Linked DNA regions of Ovis aries. The protein of the gene in region 1 interacts with the protein of each later gene in a pairwise test. Links are inferred from orthologs where the notes say so. Each region holds a gene or a part of one and is shown in the gene's direction. Other genes may lie near its edges.

Region 1 (3,461 bases):
ACTATTAATATGCCTGCAGCCACGGGGCCGCAGGCCCTCCGCCCGCTCAGGGACCTGCTGTCATTGCCCTTTCCGGCACATTCCGCCTGTGCCCCTCCCCTCTCCCGGGAGTCCCCTGGGTGGGGCTAGTTGCTTGGGGGGCACAACCAGCCCCCTCCTCCTGGCCCTTCTGACTGTGTCATCTGTGTGACTCCGAGGCGTTCAGTAACCTGCCCCAGGTGATGGCAGGCTCCTGCTCTAGCATGGTAACAGGAACGCTGGCCAGCAGTTCTTGGGCTCTGGACTCTGCTGCCCTCGGTCCGTGATGAGGGACAGGTGGAGCATGGATGGACACACAGGCCTACAGCCACCCCTGGCTGGCGTGGGGAGCCAGGATCTGAACCCAGGCCCATCCCCTCTCCCTCTTTGCAGGCCCTCGGGGTCTCCTCACATCCTGACGTTTTGGGGTACGTCTGGTCTGTTAGGCACCGTGCCAGCCCCTCAAGGTACACACCTTCCTACCTGCCCCCAGGGTGGGACTGAGAGAGAAGCCTGGGATCAGTCCTGTGTGCCGCCTGCTGAGCCCCTGCCTCTCCTGCTGGCAGTAGGGGGTGTCAGAGAGGAACCCTTTCCCTGGGGCGGGGGCGGGGGGGGGTCCCTGGCTGGGTGGATGTGCCCTCAGAGAGCCTTGTTCAGGGCCCTGCCCTGGGTTCCACGTTCTCCTTTTCTCCATGCTGCCTCCGATGAGGGCCTGCCAGGTGGGAAGGGCCTACTTGGGGTCAGACCCAGCCCTGCCTGGGTGTCTGATAAGATCCGAATCAAGCCCTGCCCCAGGGGCCTCAGACCTTTCATGACAGGCTGGGGCTGCTAGGCCTCACTCCAGCTCCCCCAAGTTAGCACCTTTCACTGCTGGCTGGCATGCCTTCTGTCTGCCTGCTTAGAGCGGGTGGGTCAGACTCCCCTCGGAGCCCTGCCCCTCCCAGCATTGCCCCCGTGCTCCCCTGACTGGGGCTCAGAGACTAGGGGGTGCCTGGGATGTCTGCTCTGGGCTCTGGGGGCTCAGAGCCTGGACAAAGATGTTGTGCTGGGCTGGTGTGGTGGAAGGACTGCCCTGGTGGTGGCCTTGAACAAGGCCTGGGTGGGCCTGATGAGAAGCAGGCGGAGAGGGGGCCATGGAGGTGGGGGCCAAGGTCTCAGGATTGGTTGAGGGTGCTTGGTGGAAGCTTCTCCATTTCCAGACCCTTTCCACGCTTAGAATGAGGCTCTCCGCGCTGGGAACCCCGGAATCTGTCACCTTCCCTGGGAACATGAACGCACGAGGAAACTAATCCAGAGTGTCCCTTGCAGCTCAGAAGGGGAAATGAATGATCTATCTCACGGATTCTCAGAATAGCTGGGATTTCTCCAAGCCCAGGGAGCTCTGAGGGCTGAGCTGGGCCCTGGGCTGCCCGCTGACCTCTCCCCCTCCTCCTGGTGGACTAGCCCTTGCTCTGCACTGGGCTGGGACCCGCCTCCGTGCCCATCCTGGGCATCTCCCTGCCGTACTGTTGGGGGTCCACGTCCACTGGAAAGCCTTACAGTCGGAACCCCCCAGGCCTGGGGGTGCTGCTCCCAGGTGCCCCCCACCCCGGGAGGTCTGTGGTGTGGCTCCTGGGGGACTCCGGTGGGGCAGTTTTATATTTAGCTGGGTCGTGGCTGCTGGGCCACTCAGGTTACATCTGCACAGAAGCTGGCAGTGCCAGGGCAGGCACGGGCTTCCTTCCAGCACCGCGGCAGAATTTGATCGCGCCGGCCCGACCCAGAGCGCCTCGCGTGGGGAGGTCTGTGGTGGGGGCTGACGGCCGGCAGCTGGGGACTCTGGCCGCTGCGGGCAGAGCGGGGAGGCATGGACCTGAGCGTGAGCCTGGCGGCCCGGGACAGCAGCCAGGGGCTCGGCCCTGGCTTTGGCCTCAATGGCCTCCCCCGGCCTGCGCCCCCCAAAGCGACCAAGAAACCTAAAAAAGCCGTTCTCTTCTTCGAGGTGGAGATTCTGGATGCCAAGACCCGGGAGAAGCTGTGCTTCCTGGACAAGGTAGGACCGGCCGTGGCGCCAGCTTTGTGGGCCCGAGGGTGCTGGGCCTGGGACTCCTCCTTTTCTGGGGTCTTGGCCCCTGGGGAGATGGATATGCCCCTCCAGCTGTGTCCTGACAGCCACCCCCTGCCCTTCAGGGTGTGCAGGACGGGTGTGTCCCTGCGCCTGCCCCTGCCACTCGGCCCCTTGGGGCAGAGCGTCCTGTTCCCTGGGTGTGGTCTGGAGCTGGCCTCATGGTGTATGAGCAGGCCGTGCAGCTTCAGTGGACCCTGCAGGGCTCTGGTGCCTGGGAGAGAGGTGGGGTCCTGAGACCTGCCCCCTTCTGAGGCCAGTCCAGGGGAGTGGGGTGGTCCCATCCCAGGGAGGTCTGGAAAAGACTGAGGGCCTTGACTCGGGGAGGAGCTGTGGGTGGGGTGGAGAGGAGGGGCAAAGCAGGCTTGGCTTCCATGCTCACACCATCCCCCAGCTGGTCCAGAGGCGTCCTGGCTGCCTGGTTAAAATGGCCTTCTGGCCCATGGTTGTGGTGTCGGCTGGATGAGTTGGGGGGCCTGGTCTCCAACCCTCCCCCTCTCATAGCAGTTGTCTAGGACCCCAGTCCATCCCACCTCCCCAGGAGAGACCCTGGGCCCCTGGCCCTCCAAACTCTCTGCCACAACTGACTTGTCTCCGGCCTGTGCTTCCCCCAGGTGGAGCCCCAAGCCACCATTGCTGAGATCAAGAACCTTTTCACCAAGACTCGTAAGTCCAGGGCCCAGACACACGGCTCCCTGTGACCCCTCTGGGCAGGGGCCTCTAGGTGGGACCCCATCCTGCCTGCCTCTCCCTCAAGGGCCTGCAGAGATGCCCCTGGTGTGGCCCAAGCCTCTCGGGGCTGGCCTGGGGCCGCCGCCCCCGTGTGGCCACCCGCAGGAACGCCCTTGCAGGGCTTCCGGAAGGACAACATCCCCCTCTTGCTGCGCTTCCGTTCCGTGTCTGGGAGCCACACCGGGGCCCATAGGAGCCCACTTGGCCGTGTGCCTTGACACCCTACTCTCCCTACAGACCCACAGTGGTACCCCGCCCGCCAGTCCCTCCGCCTGGACCCCAGTGAGTACAGCCGTCTGCTGGGCTGCCCCCGGGCTCCAGGGTGGCCGTGGGCTTAGGCCCAGCAGCCCCTGAGCCCTGGCCCAACTCTCCTCAGAGGGCAAGTCCCTGAAGGATGAGGATGTCCTGCAGAAGCTGCCCGTGGGCACCACGGCCACACTCTACTTCCGGGACCTGGGGGCCCAGATCAGCTGGGTGACGGTGAGTGCCGAGCCCTCCTCCCCTGCAGTCTCGCCTCCTCGTGCCCCCGGGGTGACTCGCCATCCTCCCCAGGTCTTCCTGACAGAGTACGCCGGGCCCCTCTTCATCTATCTGCTCTTCTACTTCC
Region 2 (4,518 bases), on another chromosome or scaffold:
AATTTATTTTGGAGGAGAGTAGAACAAAAATGTGTTCAGAGCCATATGCCTAAATGCTTCCCTTTTGCATTTTGTATTGATCTGACTTTCTTTACTGAATTGATTTTGGGACTCTCAGCTTAAAAGCCTTTTATTCTAAAAAAAAAAGAAAGCTATTTATTCATGTCATTTGCAGTCTTTTAAAAGAACAGCTTTTAACGTACCAGTAAGATACTTACATAAATAGTTTAAAACATCTTATCTTCACCCTGTTATTATTACAGACCCTTTAACTGCACAGGGCATTAAATTTGCCTGTAATAGTTTCTTTTGCCTTGTACTTTCTGGCACCTAATATAGCCGCTCAAGGACCAATTTAGCTTATTCCCTTCCTTTTGGCCTTGTTCTCAATAGGCAAGGTTGCCAAAAAGCCAAGCTCCAGATGGGTGAGGTGCCACTGTGCTCTTACAAAAAAGCACTCTTGTTAGGATGTTGCTGATGGTGCAGCATTTCTGTGCATTACATACAGCTTGGCATTTGAGGGTGATCATAAATCCAGGACAGATTCTTGAGGTCACCTTTGGCAGTATCTGTCGTTGCCATGTCTTTCTATTATAATCCTACTTAACCTTTTTTTTTTTCTGATTGTTCTTTTTCTTAGGTGGCTCGTTATAGCAGTTGGTCTGGTCAGAGCATACCTGGCTAAGGGTAGCTATCACAGCCTTTATTATTCCATTGAAAAGCCTTTGAAATTCTTCCAAACTGGAGCCTTATTGGAGGTGGGTCCTGTGATTTGTTGTTGTTGATTTCTATTGTAAAATTAAAACAAGCTACTAAATTGTATTGAAGTAGCCATGTTTCTGTTGGATTTGCTTTAAATGTTAAAAACTTGCCTCATAGTATGCTATGTATAATGTTGATGTCTAGTTTATCTCTTTGACCAGGTCAAGTAGATCTCATTTAACTTGCATTACTTGGAATGTGTTTTACATTCAACTTTTATTGGAAATCAAATTAAACAGACTTATATTAGGATTAAAAAAGTTCCAGGAACATTCTAGGGAACTGCTAGCAAACTCGGATACTCTTGGGGCCTGGCATATAATGGGCACAGTGAAGTTGGTAAGTGTAGGATGTCAGGAGGGACAGATATAAGAAACAGTAGAGACTGTCTAGAAGCCTCCAAATTTTTTCTTAAAGAATAGTTTATTAATTTCCCTGTATTAAGGATAATGTATATATCCATTCCTGTCTTCTGGGTTAAGTATGTTAGGATTTTTGCGTGGCAAGTGACAGAAGCCCAATTCAAATTATTTTAAGCAAAAGGAAATTTATCGGCTCCCATGGTTGGTAAAGATGTAGGGTAAGCCTACAAAATCAAAGGGACCAGCTCAGGAATGAGGAGTGAGAACCAAGGATGTGATGCTGCGGACTCTCCTTCCATCTCTCGTCTCTGCTGCTCTGCTTCTCTTTGAATATTGGTCTTAGGCTCTCCTGCTGCAGATTGCCTTCTCCACATGGTGTGAGAGAGCTTATTTTTCTTAGCGTCAGGGAAGGATTCTGGTTGGCCTTACTTAGGACAATCACTCTTGCCAGTGATGTGAGATACTTGATTAGTCAGATCTGGGGCACATCCTTCTGGCCAAGAAACTGTAGACTTTGTTAATGGAAAAAGGGAGATGAGATGGCTTTGGGCACACACAATAGCTGCCGTAGTTCTTTATGGTGAAAATTTTTCAGGGTGCAGAGCAGATCTGGTATTCAGTTTCATTTCACGTAGCCTCTAGGCCAAGCCCGTCATGATGTTTGGAAGACTATTTAAGAAAAGACCATTTATCTCTATGAAATAAAATGTGTTCCTTCCACCTCTCCCCTAATTTTTGAAAGCAGAAAAAGCAGAGAGACTTCGATACTGTCCTTCTTACACATTTAAGGTAGATAGTGTGATGTAAAGAGCCTGCAGCCGGAGCTTGAGTGCCATATTCTAAGCATGCTAGTTTTACTAACTTACTTTGGGAATTTGGGGGTGTCATTTACCTCTTGTCTACCTCTTTTTCTCATTTGTAGAATAATTAGGTGGAAGTAGTTTAGGCCATATTTTAAACTTGGAGGTTGACGTTTTTTTGGAAAGAGGCAGTAGTAAATAAGTAGAACCTGTCTCCTGGACCTTTGGCCCACACAGTTCTCTAAAGCTACAGAGAAGCAAATTTGGAATCAAGACCATTAGAAACTGCCTCAGTGCTTGACACAGTAGGAAGTGGTCCCCCATTGGAATAATGTAATAATTTAAAGGGGAGTCTGTCTCTGTAAGACTTGGTAATATTAGAGGTATAATTTTGAAATTTTAAGATTATCTTAGGGAAGGTAGTGACCTCAAATAGTGTGATACAAAAATCCACTTAGGAACCAAATCTTAGCCTGGGAGGGATTAGCCCATTTATCCTTATAGAATTTTTAATAGGGATTTAAGAAAATACTTTGGAGTTTTGGTTTTATCTCTATTATCCCCAGTAAAAACCAATTTGGTGACAAATCCTGGATTTGATTCTGGGAAAAGTACTCTGCAAAATGAATGAAGACTCCCTGGAATGTGCAGTATATTAGCTTTGAAGATGGCAGTGGTGGGAAGGGACCCCTCAACTGGGGAGAAAAGATCAGGCTTGCTAGAACAGCGTTTCCTGAGCTGTCCATTAAGGAATGTTTTCTCGCCTACCCAACCTAGATGGTATGATAATTACATGTGCTTAGTATTGTTTAATTACAGATAAGTTGTCCTTTTGTGAGTTATTAGTGCTTGATAATAAACCCTGTTAAAGGAGGAAAAAATGAGTCCAGGGAGGTCAGCCACTCACTTGTACCTCTGTAAGAATATTCTGAATAATAATCTATATGATTATTCCTTAATAGGTTCTATGAGAGTTTGAAATAGACTCTACTTGTTCTCAAGAAACTTCAAATCTTCTCAGGAAAATATAACACTTTGCTTTTAAAAAAATTTAGAAACATTTACTAATCATGTATAAATGGACATGTAGTAATGTCCATTTAATTTCTGAGGAAATTAAATGAAGTTTTGCAAAATATGTACAAGATATATTGAGTTTGTGAAACAATAATATAGCTTTTTAATAAAATAGAAATCCCAATTTTTTTCCCACATACTCATACAAGAATGTCTTGAGTAATTTTTATAGATAGTTTTCCAAAATATTCCACAGGTGATAGTTAAATAAGTATGTGCTTGAGTCACTGTAATGGGTACCATGGAGACTGAACCCTTACTGATAAAGATATTAAAATTTTATTGAGTAGATGCTTCTGTTAGGACCATTGGCTAGAGATTATAGAAACCTCCTTGACTGACTTCATCTGTAAGGGGACTTTGTTAGAAATGTATAGTGTGTCCCATGGAACCCAATGGTGGGGCTGCACCTGGGACCTAGGAATGGCCTGGAATCAGGGACTGGAGCGCCACTGGGAACCCAGGAGTTCTTGCGGTGTCTCATTACCGTGCTCTCTCTCTTCCTCTGATTCTTCTCTTCCTGCAGACTGGTTTGTTTGCTTCCTTGTTTGTTTGTTTGGTTTCTTAGTCTACGTGGCAGACCATGGTAATAGAAAACTCCTGAGATTGTAGTTTCTGCAATCAAGAGAGCAGCTAATTAAAAGCAATCTTATTTCCATTTCCATAGTCCTAGTGAAGAGCCTAATTGTCCAGCTTAAATTAGGTACTTATTTCTGGTCCAGTCACCTATAGACAAGAGCAGGGTCACATTAACCGTATAGAAGTTGGAGGGAAGGGACAATCTCTAGAAAAGTGGTTTTAGGCAGCAAGCCCAAGAAAGTATGCACCAAAGTCATGAGACACAGTACAGTGAAGATACTAAGATATGAGATGATTTATAAATCTATAGAAAGTAAAATGCTGGTAACTTTGTGGGCCAAGAGGTCAGTGTGTAAATAAATACATTGTGTCTTGAGTTAAATGTGGAGTAATCCTGGGAGTTAATTAACATAGGTAACAGAAGTATATTTTTTAAATGCCATTCATAGATAAATAAAAAATGGTTTCTTCATACCATAAATGAATGAATTACTGGTACTTGTTACGACATAGATGAATCTTGAAAACATGCTTTGTGAAAGAAGCTAGAAACAAAAAGCTATGTGTTTGGTTCCATTTATATGAAAGATCCAGAATAAGCAAATTCAGAGAGACAGAAAGTGGATTAATGGTTGCCAAGGGCTGTGACTGCTTATGGGTACAGGATTTCTTTTTAAGGTGATGAAATTGTTCTTGAATTAAATGGTGGTATGGTTGTACAACCTTAGAAACATAACTGAAAATCACTGAATAGTATACTTTAAGTGAATTTTGTGATATGTGAACTATATCTCAGTTTTTTAAAATACCATTCATCTATAATGACCCATGGATAAGTTTTCTTTTTACTTTATTCTTTTCTGAGTTGTCCATGATAGTCCTGGATAAGGAAGGATTCTATCTTTCCTGTTGAGAATTCGGTTAAAGATTAGAAATTG

Evidence for each region.
Region 2: the proteins of TECR (region 1) and HACD2 interact in binary tests that used the Homo sapiens proteins (3 or more experiments, as listed by UniProt). The link is inferred for Ovis aries from reciprocal best matches to the Homo sapiens genes TECR and HACD2.

What each region holds. Positions count from the first base shown.
Region 1 is NC_056058.1:9,554,389-9,557,849, reverse strand, and holds part of TECR (very-long-chain enoyl-CoA reductase), read left to right. Parts: intron 1-1,999; coding exon 2,000-2,050; intron 2,051-2,736; coding exon 2,737-2,788; intron 2,789-3,091; coding exon 3,092-3,136; intron 3,137-3,230; coding exon 3,231-3,334; intron 3,335-3,406; coding exon 3,407-3,461. UniProt on the Homo sapiens protein: Involved in both the production of very long-chain fatty acids for sphingolipid synthesis and the degradation of the sphingosine moiety in sphingolipids through the sphingosine 1-phosphate metabolic pathway.
Region 2 is NC_056054.1:188,809,764-188,814,281, reverse strand, and holds part of HACD2 (very-long-chain (3R)-3-hydroxyacyl-CoA dehydratase 2), read left to right. Parts: intron 1-640; coding exon 641-758; intron 759-4,518. UniProt on the Homo sapiens protein: Catalyzes the third of the very long-chain fatty acids (VLCFA) elongation four-step cycle (condensation, reduction, dehydration, and reduction).